Saccharomyces cerevisiae S288C: one gene and its partner. The main gene of each other region encodes a partner of the protein of the gene in region 2 in a complex. Each region holds a gene or a part of one and is shown on either strand. Other genes may lie near its edges. A codon is read from its position in the direction of its gene.

Region 1 (5,946 bases), on a different chromosome or scaffold from region 2:
CAAGAAAGAAGAATAACAATATGCGTAAGGAAGACGATGAAGAGGAATCTGGAAGTGTTGTGTTACAAGGACGGCATGGTATAGAGGATGAAATAATATGTGAGGGTTCCTGTTCCATTTTAGGTAGAGACCACCAAGAATACAGAAGCTATTATGCCCCTGTACGTAAAGTTATTGATGGTGATTTATGTGAAAATTTCCTGAGACTTTCCTTGAATGAGCAGGAATTTTTGGCCAAAAATTTAAAGAGTGTACAAGTGGAGGATATAATTCAAACAATCAACGAAGTCAGAACAAATTACATGTAATGATTTTACAGTAATAATACCAAGTATAAAGGCGTGTTAATGTATTTTCTTAATAAATATATGTACAAGGAATATATGATAGCTTTAAATATAAGAAATATAAAATTTCACCTCATCTTTATTTCTGTTTTAAAAGGAAACCGTTTTAATTCATCGATATGCCACCTCTGTACATTTCGTCGATGATTTTACCGTTTTCCAAGTTTTCACATAACAGCTTCAAGTTGTGTGGGTAAACTTTACCAAACCATAATGAATCCAGCTTGTTTTGCATCTTTTCTCTGCCGAATAGTTTATAGAAAATGACATTACCAGCAAAAATATGACCCCCAATATGAGAAATTAAGGCTAGATTATTCTCAGGAAAAAGCTTTTCATCTTGAAATGCTGCAATTATGTCGGGTCCCATTTCTCCACACTTAGCATCTCTCTTATAATGCCCACAGACTAAGTTCCAATCTCTTAGAAAAGTTTCACCCTGAAACCTTGTAAGCTTTCTATGATGCACTTCATGAACCTGTTGGGAAGCCTTGGCCTTACCGCTTAAATAATCCTGGAAGGATAGCTTTGGTGCTTGAATAGCTCCTTCATCTAAAAAAGATGCAAATTCCTCGATGTCCGTTTCCTTAATTACATAAAGCTTCATGTCAGGAATAACAAAAAAATAAAGCCATTCATCGTGTTGTTTTGGCCTTGGAATAAATTCATTTTGCAAATGCACCGCATTTATTAGTATTCCTGGAGAACCACCTAAATGGGAGCGCAATTTACTAATGGCATTATATGGCCGATTTGTATTAGTATCCAAATTATGATTCCATGCTACCTTCCATGGTTGAGCAAACCTATCACCCGGTGATAACAGCAAAACATGCTTATTGTAATTGGGCGTTCTATGAGGAAGCTTGATATGAGGATCTAATGGATCAGTTTTTGAAGGCAGCCTTGCGTTTATTTCTTGGCAATAACAGTTTGTTTGATCATTTTGAGCACGGGTATGAAGATCAGGAACGCTAATATGTTTGAAGCTATGATGGAAGGATGCCCGCTGCTGCAAAGTTTTGACAGTTATACGTAGCATTTTATTTTTTGTGTCAGTGCACCTTCTCTCACTTTTCTACTAAGGAAATTTGATATTTCAAATGTAGTATGCTAATAAATAAGAACACCCGCATGCACGAAAAAGGGAAATTTAAAACTAGTTAGGTAAACAAAGTTCAGAACAAGAAATGATATGGTTGTTTTACATAGATATATACTCAGTATTCGTTTTTATAACGTTCGCTGCACTGGGGGCCAAGCACAGGGCAAGATGCTTTTATAAACTATAATGCGAGATATTGCTAACGTTTAATGTGGAGCCCATCATGTTACTTTTATAAACGCTCTCGATTAACCTGTGTAATATCAGAGCATCCATCAAGGTGGGAAAGCCTTCGAAATCGAAACCTTGCATTACAAATTGTGAGGGTAATTCAGGAATTTTCTTTGTATTGAAGTGGAAGTCAGAGATAGATTGATACAGTCGATGAATATTACCCACAATGGCATTATAATTTCGTAAATGATATACTTCCATGATTTCTTTACCTGCATCATACCCCGGGTCTAAAGGAGCTTGTTGTCCATTGGCTAGCGGGAAGTCGTTTGCTCTAGTTCCACTGTAGTAAAGGACCAGATTTGAAATTTCTGCGAAGCCGGCATCGCCTTCAAGTTTCAAATCTCCCTTGGTACCGTGAATGTCAATGACCAAATTTTTGGTAAATTTTTTGGTAGGTTTGCCACCTTTGAAACTGCATGACACTGGAACATTGCCATTTAACAATGTGCCTTGGAATAAAAGATGATCCGGTACTGTCTTTGGGACTCGCTGGCCCAATCGGTTACCACGCTCATCTATCAGCTCTTGCTCTGGAATATTATTGAAAACCATTGCATTTATCCTGGAAAAGTACGAACTTGTCATGTATTGTAAAATATCGATTGTGTGACCAAATGTTGTGGTTACCAGATCTACACCGTTCCCGATTTCATAGATGTATTTTGGTGATTTAACAGGCCTTTCGTAGCCGTACCAACCGCCATTTCCAGCAATCTCGATCGAATTAATGTCGCCGATATAGCCTTGAGATATTAATTCTTTTGCTCTCAAAATATATGGTGATTTACGACCTTGTAAAGAGATGATGGTTTGAACCCCACGTTCAGCAGCAGCCTTATAAATGGATTCGGCTTGATCTAGTGAACATGCAAGGGCCCATTCTACGAAAAGATACTTGAGGTTCGGATTATTTTTGGAGAATTCCAAGAGAGGCATAACAACTTCATAATGGCTGGCCACTTGGATAGCTATCACTATCATATCTATAGTGGAAGATGATGCAAATGACTCTAAAGTGGGAAAAGCAGTGGCATTACTCAATTTTAGACGCTGAATGGTGGCAATAGAAGTCTCAATTTTTGGACTGTATAAGGCAGTGATTTGAAATTGTGACGATAGTTGCAGTATGGCGGGGTAATGTGTCTTGATTGCCCATCCTTTGGCTGCGTTGAGACCGACGAATCCGACTCTTATGGGAGCTGCATTAGGCACGGTTGAGACCGAAGATCTCTTGTTGTAGTCCATGACGGGAGTGGAAAGAACGGGAAACCAACTATCGAGATTGTATACGCTGGTCGGCAAGGACCAGCAGTGATATGTGATGTATATATATTCAGGTTCAAAAAAAAAAGTTATGAGCTTTTGGTTATTATGAATGTAGCAGACATTTTGAGGTCGTTCGGGCGAGAGTGCGCCGGTAAATGAAGAAAATATAGGATATTATTAATATTAGAATTAAACTATTATATTGCAGGGGAGAGAAGAAAGGGGTATAAATATATATTACAAAGCGGAAAACTTGCGCCATTTAAACAGAGACATCGTCCGGGCGCTCGTGTGATTTTCTTATAGTGAAGAAGTTAATACCTTTAGGTTGGTTTTCCGTAGCAGCAGTGGCAGTGACCGGATTAGCATTGGAAGAAGGCCCCACTATGCTTGCACTTTGTTGCATGTCTTCAGGTCCAGTGGCAGTCAATATTGGGTCAGTTGCTTGCTCCTTCTCTCTATGGAAGGGATTCCATCTGGAGGAGGTTCTGTATCTTGAATTGTCGATGGAGTAAGTAGAGGCCAACCTTGCCCTAACAGACCAGAAGACCAGCAGGATAAATTCCACGATACATAAAAAGACACTTGCCCAAGCCATACCCATCATAGAGGCACCCAATTGGGCACTACGATGATCGTCATGGAAAGCATTCTTTGCCATGGCAGAGGCGGCCGTTTGCAAGACAACGGCTGCCGTATTGAAGACAAACCCAAAAGACATGAGGATAAGCACCATCTCTGAAAGCATCTTCGAGCACCAAGTCAAAACGTAAAGGATAAACGACACACCTACAAAGGCAAGCGCAATCCAAAAGAAACAAAATGAAAATCTAGTCAGGTAGTAAAAAGCGTCTCTTTTGGAAATAAACTGGTGAGGGACATTGATGTGTGTGTTGAAGTTATCTACTGGGGAAATGGGGTATGCAGGTGCCAAATTGCTTGTGCAGGTATCCGACCCGTCTTTATCCTGTAGACAGGCGCCCCAAAACGTCCAACGTGTTTCATCCCCAGCATTAGGTATGCCTGTTGTATTGCCCTGCACCCAATAGAATCTGTTCACGGGGTAATGGTCCGTGGCACCAGATATAATCATCAAAATTAACAGCAAGGTATTACCTGCTAAAAACAGCAACACTACCAGACGTAGTACTATATTCCAGACCTTAACCATAGTATTGTGCGGATATGCGTTACTATACTTAGTCTCTTCAATATCTACGGGAGTCAAGAGGTATTAATAAATCTTCTTGCGTGGGTGTTGCTTGTTTGTTTGCTGTTTAAGTATCGAGGAGATGTTGAAAAATGTATCGGGGGCCTCGAGGCGACACCTGCTAATGTTTACAATTTTCCCGATTGGGGTGCTAGAGGCATACAGTGGGCTACATGGCACAGCACGGCAGTGCAGAGTGAGAAAATATGACTTCACGCTCGAGGCGAGGCCACGCTTTCGAAGCTTCGAATGCCACTACCTAGACCATTGCTGTTTTGTACCTTCACGGTCCCATTAGAGACATTTTACTTAATGCAAGATTGCCATATCCGTTGTCATGGTACCAAACAGGGTAATAATTTCTAGAAATCATGATACACGTATGACATCTGGGTAACCTAATCCATCTGGGTAACCGATTTTTCTCTCCCTTTGCTTTCTCTTTACCACTCAGCTGACTTTATTATTTTTTTTATATTTTTCATTTTGACAAAATTATATAGTTAGGAAGAATACAATAGGACTGCGACAGAAACAGATAAGGGCTCTTTTTTCTTGGGGTTGGCTGCTTTTATTCATTAATTTAAGACTCAAGTGTGCTGCGTGAAATGCTCTCATACTATGAACACAATACTGCGTTCCAAACAAACAATTGCAATTCCGGTAGCAATGCCGCCACTACATACAACAGCGACGCCAATAATGATACGATCATGAATAAAAGAAAAAATGACCATTTCGAGTTTGATACACACACTTTCTACCAAAGATCGAAGAGAACAAAACGAGATTCTGTAAGTACAAAGTTTTCGGTCGGTTCCGGGTGTGCTAATCTTAATAACAACAACAACAACATCATCATCAACAACAACAACAACAACAATAATAATAATAATAACCATAATCATAATAACAGCAATAATACTGCAACCTACAATAATATTCATTATAAAAAAAATATCGAAATATGTCCCCTGAAACCGGTTAGTATGCACCACACTATGAACAGCCGCTTACTGAACGAATCTGAATTTTATTCTGAAACAGAAGAGTACATGATTCATGGTTATTTCGGTAACACTAATCGCGACATAACAGGCACGAGTCCTACTGGAAGTGCTAGTATTATACAACACCAGTATCATCTTCTACCATCCCAAAGTATAATTGCATCACAAGCACCCGGTACTGCCATGGCCGCGTTGACTAACAACAATATCGCTAACGATTACATGGATATAGATTAATAAGAAAAAAAATAACTGCAGGAAATGAAAATGAAAATGAAATGGAAAAAAAAAAAAGAAAATTTAACCTATTTAAAATAATACAATGTATTACATATTTATCACGACTGTTTACGTATCTCTACTCAATTTACTTTAAAGGCTAAGTGCTCATTCTGGCTACCTTACATCTATCTATAAAACGTTCAAAACTCAAACCTCACTAGGCCTGGAGAAAAAGGGAAAAAAAATATCTCCCGGGGGCGAGTCGAACGCCCGATCTCAAGATTTCGTAGTGGTAAATTACAGTCTTGCGCCTTAAACCAACTTGGCTACCGAGAGTGACTATTTTGATTTACTTCAAAATAAAGTGTCAGTACTACCCTTATTATATGAATGTTGTCGTAACCTCTCGGATTATATGTAGACAATGTTATGGATATATAGAATATAAGTGTTGGAATAAAAATCAACTATCATCTACTAACTAGTATTTACGTTACTAGTATATTATCATATACGGTGTTAGAAGATGACGCAAATGATGAGAAATAG
Region 2 (5,412 bases):
CAATAAGTTTGTCATAATACGGATGGCTTTTGCGTATTCTAAGGCCGTAGACGCATCCAAACCTCTAGTGGCATTATCCCAACAGTAAATGGAACCTTTGGCTGCCAAAGCCTCGGCAATGGAAACACGCTTACGTTCACCACCAGATACACCTCTAACGAAATCGTTACCAACTTTGGTATTATAGGTATGCCTTAGACCGAAAATGGTTGCATATAAATCTCTTCTGGATGCAATGTATTCCTTTTTGGAAACGTTATTGACTCTGAGAGCAGGCGTTTTGCAGGCAATAGCGAAATCCAAAGTTTGCTTAACTGTTAAATAAGGGAAATGAACATCCAACTCACCATTGTAAATAACATCTGCTTTATATCGTTTCATCATTTCTTCTTGGGGAATACCATCATATGCTACTTCACCGGAAACACCACCGGCAAACTGATCTATTTCACCAGCTGTTACTTTTAAAAAGGAGGAACAACCAGCACCAGGCCTTCCAAGAACCAAAATCATTTCACCCGCTTCTGCCAGGGCATTGACATTGCTTATGATCTGTCTCATCTTTTGATGCCTCTTAGCCTTAATACCTTTAAAGATGGTCAACGGTAAACAAAGAATGTTACCAAAGGTAGCACCTTCTAGGGCACTCGCATCCACACCTTTAGCGCTTACGTCCTCTATGGTAACACCAGCCTTGCGGATATGGATGCCTTGCTCATCAGCGTCTCTTACAAAACTTTCAAAGATGGCATGGGCATCGAACCCATCGTCACTATCTGAATCCATATTAAAGGCACCGCTTCTCGTTGTATGACGGGATAGTGCATCTGCAAATGACTCCACTTTAGATACGACATCTGGCGCCATTTCAGACACAGTGGCACTAATCTGGCTCGCAGTGTCTCTTGCAGGTCCTGTCAGCATTTTTGTTAGTTTATCCGCCGGGGTATCGCTCTGCTCATCTTTGTCATGGGTTATGCCCGTAAATGATTCTTCTGAAGCTGCAAAAGAAGCGCTTGAGCTTCTAGCGACAGCATTATGAGAGCTATCTTGCGTGCTTTTGATATTGCTCATTGAATTCTCTTTACGTATTTTGGTAGCTGTGTTATTCTATCCACTTTTTTACTGCTTTCGGTCTTCGATATAGTTTTTCTTTTTTTATGTCTCTGCGGGTACGTCCGCTATACCTTCGTTTTCTCAGGGAGCTTGAACTCTAATCAATGGAAGGAGAAAATAATCAATGTTGAAGACGATGGATGCACTGAGAATGTAATGCACTGGTGATATAGTAACTCCTATATCCTACAGTGAGCTTTTTTTTTTTTGACCTCGCAACACTTCAACTTGAAAAACAAAAGATACAAATACACTAGGTTCGTATATATTGTTTTCGTTAGGTATTTATTTATCTACAAGCATATACAAGCATAAAAAGTGGTGAGGCGATAGCGGTGAGGGAGGGGCACTACTCATCATTTGTTTTATATGTTGATGTTGCGTAGTCACTATTAGTAATACCAATACCCAGCGGGGTTGCAGGGAATACAATGGAAAGACCTAAAGAAAATAGAAAACGGATTTAAACGGAAATGGGCGGACATTTAGTCATATGTGCGCGGAACCAGACGACTGGGAAAGGATCGAAAGGCATCCGCGGAAACTTAAAATAGCTCCGCGGATGCTAGATTTCTACGAGTCATACATAGTCTGGCGTGAAGGTAATTTTTTTTTATGTCTCCGTTCTTTTCCAAATGGGGTGATCCGTGGAGGGCGGTGCTTCTTTCGCGCCACTTCCTTGCCGTGGAAAAATGTGTACGGTTACCATGGTCACATAACCTCTGTGTGCGGAGCCACTCTGACTCGCATCAACCGGGCTATGGTTGCATCGGATGCTGGAATGGGTTCTATTGGACTCACCAACTTGTTTCTTTATAGAGTGTAAGAGGTATGAGTAAACTTTTAATATTTAAAGGTTGTTCCAAGAAGGTGTTTAGTGTTATTGTTCGTACAAACAAGTACCCAAGGCAGGCTTCGAAACTATAATTGCGTCTTTTAGTTCTTCATCTGTGAGATCCGGATATCTTACATTGTAGAATTTTTCGATTAGTGCTTTTCGTACCTGTTCCACGTTCCCATTAGCGCCACTAGGAACAAGGTGGATAGTGCAACCGCCCCAACCAGCGCCAGTGAGACGGGAGCCGAAAGAACCATTTGCTAGGGCAATCGAGCATATTTGATTGGTTTCTATGCACGAACATTCATAAAGTTTATCACAAGAGGCCTGGGACTCATTCATTAGTCGGCCAAAATCTGTAAAGAAATCTTCGTCCGTGTGAAAAGTGGCACTTGTCATCATTTTTAAAGCCTTAAGCACCCTTAAGGATTCGGAGTAAACGTGTTTAGCTCTTTGATATAGTTTCAAGACTTGGAAGCGGACGGGAAAAGTTGTCAGGTAATCTCTAGTGAACTCCTCACGTGAACAGTTTAGCGCCGTAGAGGCTTCATGTACAGTGAATCCGCTCTTTTTCCTCGAGAAAGATTCTTCTACCAATTGTAGCATCTTGAGTAAACGTTCAATACCAGTTCCGATATCTCCATTCCATGGTTGGGCTTGGTTTTCGTATCTGGCGTAGTAAGCATCCATAAAATCTCTTAGATTCCCTCTTTCTGAGTTAGAATTGTCCTTGTGAGATGGTAAGGCCACGCTGTATCTGGTCGCCAAGGCGTTGGCAGCAACTGTTACCTCTATTACTCTTAAATTGTAATTTGTAGGAGCAGTTTCGAATTTATTAGACTTTACAAGAGTATTGGCGATGACGAAACTGATTTCATGATTTTTCAATTGAGGAAACTTGAAAGGTGTGGCCTTTAGTTTTGGCCTAAACTCTACGTATAGAGCATGATCTTCTTCCCCATAAACAGACGTTGCTTGATCCATACCACCATTATTGACTCCAACATAGTGCTCAGCAACCGCTGTGATGCGGGTCAAGTCTTTTTTGGAAATATCAAAATTTTTTCCCATATTGGCTCTAATTGTGGCTAGTGCTGCCGCGCAAGTAAATGCAGATGAGAGTCCACCACCAGTAGGAATATCGCTCTGGCAAAAGATCTGCGCACCTACTAAGGGTGTATTATTAAATCTTTCCGGAGCAATTTTTTTCAAGTATGAATGTGCCACATGTAGTCCGCATTTAAAGTAATTCGACCATTCCGACACAGACGGATCTATGGCCATGTAGGAACCATCTAAAGGCAGATCAAACTTTCGCTGAGCAAATTTAGGGTCCGCATTTGTTAAGGTAATGGATGGATTTTTTTCGTCTAAAATTTTAACTGCGCAAAGCATATCCACATCAATGGCTAATGGCAAAACTGAAAAATCGCAATAATCTATATGCTCACCAATCAGATTTACTCTGCCAGGAGACCTAGCGATAAAATCAGGTTTGACATGGTATGTTTGGAAAAATGCATCTACAACCGCTAAATGTTTTTGTTCGAAAGACCTTGGTAAATCTCTGACCGGAGAACTGAATATTGGAACGTTTGTATTCATACTATGTGTTGCCCTACCTTTTTACTTTTATTTTCTCTTTTTGCACTCCTGATTCCGCTAATAGGAAGTATGAATACCTGGGGTTGTCAATGTGGTAACAAAGGTGTTGCCTCACTTGTCGCTTATGATGATTATATACGTTTCAGTAAAAATTTTACTGCCTATGTGTTGCAGGCGGTCAATCAATTGCATAAAAGACCGTGTGATGGCTTGGCATGGCGATTTCATTCTTTCAAGAATTCCACATGTTAAAATAGTGAAGGAGCATGTTCGGCACACAGTGGACCGAACGTGGGGTAAGTGCACTAGGGTCCGGTTAAACGGATCTCGCATTGATGAGGCAACGCTAATTATCAACATATAGATTGTTATCTATCTGCATGAACACGAAATCTTTACTTGACGACTTGAGGCTGATGGTGTTTATGCAAAGAAACCACTGTGTTTAATATGTGTCACTGTTTGATATTACTGTCAGCGTAGAAGATAATAGTAAAAGCGGTTAATAAGTGTATTTGAGATAAGTGTGATAAAGTTTTTACAGCGAAAAGACGATAAATACAAGAAAATGATTACGAGGATACGGAGAGAGGTATGTACATGTGTATTTATATACTAAGCTGCCGGCGGTTGTTTGCAAGACCGAGAAAAGGCTAGCAAGAATCGGGTCATTGTAGCGTATGCGCCTGTGAACATTCTCTTCAACAAGTTTGATTCCATTGCGGTGAAATGGTAAAAGTCAACCCCCTGCGATGTATATTTTCCTGTACAATCAATCAAAAAGCCAAATGATTTAGCATTATCTTTACATCTTGTTATTTTACAGATTTTATGTTTAGATCTTTTATGCTTGCTTTTCAAAAGGCCTGCAGGCAAGTGCACAAACAATACTTAAATAAATACTACTCAGTAATAACCTATTTCTTAGCATTTTTGACGAAATTTGCTATTTTGTTAGAGTCTTTTACACCATTTGTCTCCACACCTCCGCTTACATCAACACCAATAACGCCATTTAATCTAAGCGCATCACCAACATTTTCTGGCGTCAGTCCACCAGCTAACATAAAATGTAAGCTTTCGGGGCTCTCTTGCCTTCCAACCCAGTCAGAAATCGAGTTCCAATCCAAAAGTTCACCTGTCCCACCTGCTTCTGAATCAAACAAGGGAATAAACGAATGAGGTTTCTGTGAAGCTGCACTGAGTAGTATGTTGCAGTCTTTTGGAAATACGAGTCTTTTAATAACTGGCAAACCGAGGAACTCTTGGTATTCTTGCCACGACTCATCTCCATGCAGTTGGACGATATCAATGCCGTAATCATTGACCAGAGCCAAAACATCCTCCTTAGGTTGATTACGAAACACGCCAACCAAGTATTTCGGAGTGCCTGAACTATTTTTATATGCTTTTACAAGACTTGAAATTTTCCTTGCAATAACCGGGTCAATTGTTCTCTTTCTATTGGGCACACATATAATACCCAGCAAGTCAGCATCGGAATCTAGAGCACATTCTGCGGCCTCTGTGCTCTGCAAGCCGCAAACTTTCACCAATGGACCAGAACTACCTGTGAAATTAATAACAGACATACTCCAAGCTGCCTTTGTGTGCTTAATCACGTATACTCACGTGCTCAATAGTCACCAATGCCCTCCCTCTTGGCCCTCTCCTTTTCTTTTTTCGACCGAATTCTTAATCGGCAAAAAAAGAAAAGCTCCGGATCAAGATTGTACGTAAGGTGACAAGCTATTTTTCAATAAAGAATATCTTCCACTACTGCCATCTGGCGTCATAACTGCAAAGTACACATATATTACGATGCTGTTCTATTAAATGCTTCCTATATTATA

What was found.
Region 1: the proteins of GAL3 (region 2) and GAL80 are in contact, whole or in part, in a crystal structure (PDB 3V2U), measured with the Saccharomyces cerevisiae proteins. Residues at the interface, in NP_010292.1 of Saccharomyces cerevisiae: Lys81 (codon at 3,319), Asn82 (codon at 3,316), Lys98 (codon at 3,268), Phe99 (codon at 3,265), Asp100 (codon at 3,262), Leu103 (codon at 3,253), Ala109 (codon at 3,235), Ile110 (codon at 3,232), Asp111 (codon at 3,229), Pro112 (codon at 3,226), Ser113 (codon at 3,223), Val114 (codon at 3,220), Lys122 (codon at 3,196), Tyr200 (codon at 2,962), Asn257 (codon at 2,791), Glu260 (codon at 2,782), Thr264 (codon at 2,770), Glu298 (codon at 2,668), Thr350 (codon at 2,512), Thr366 (codon at 2,464), Leu370 (codon at 2,452), Thr371 (codon at 2,449), Thr372 (codon at 2,446), Phe373 (codon at 2,443), Pro374 (codon at 2,440), Val375 (codon at 2,437), Arg376 (codon at 2,434), Phe377 (codon at 2,431), Gln378 (codon at 2,428), Val379 (codon at 2,425); in NP_013661.1 of Saccharomyces cerevisiae: Tyr37 (codon at 2,826), Leu41 (codon at 2,814), Gln42 (codon at 2,811), Leu43 (codon at 2,808), Ser44 (codon at 2,805), Ser45 (codon at 2,802), Arg66 (codon at 2,739), Leu67 (codon at 2,736), Lys68 (codon at 2,733), Ser70 (codon at 2,727), Pro156 (codon at 2,469), Arg160 (codon at 2,457), Val318 (codon at 1,983), Tyr320 (codon at 1,977), Leu339 (codon at 1,920), Tyr343 (codon at 1,908), Asp344 (codon at 1,905), Lys347 (codon at 1,896), Glu348 (codon at 1,893), Ile349 (codon at 1,890), Met350 (codon at 1,887), Glu351 (codon at 1,884), Val352 (codon at 1,881), Tyr353 (codon at 1,878), His354 (codon at 1,875), Leu355 (codon at 1,872), Arg356 (codon at 1,869), Asn357 (codon at 1,866), Tyr358 (codon at 1,863), Arg367 (codon at 1,836).

What each region holds. Positions count from the first base shown.
Region 1 is NC_001145.3:168,582-174,527, reverse strand, and holds GAL80 (transcription regulator GAL80), read right to left. Parts: upstream 2,935-5,946; coding exon 1,627-2,934; downstream 1-1,626. Other genes in the region: U2 snRNP complex subunit RSE1, read left to right, coding at 1-308; AIM32 (Aim32p), read right to left, coding at 454-1,389; SUR7 (Sur7p), read right to left, coding at 3,218-4,126; YML053C (uncharacterized protein), read left to right, coding at 4,774-5,412. UniProt on the Saccharomyces cerevisiae protein: This protein is a negative regulator for the gene expression of the lactose/galactose metabolic genes. It binds to GAL4 and so blocks transcriptional activation by it, in the absence of an inducing sugar.
Region 2 is NC_001136.10:461,581-466,992, reverse strand, and holds GAL3 (transcriptional regulator GAL3), read right to left. Parts: upstream 3,560-5,412; coding exon 1,997-3,559; downstream 1-1,996. Other genes in the region: ATP-binding cassette transporter SNQ2, read right to left, coding at 1-1,074; YDR010C (uncharacterized protein), read left to right, coding at 1,610-1,942; phosphoribosylanthranilate isomerase TRP1, read right to left, coding at 4,477-5,151.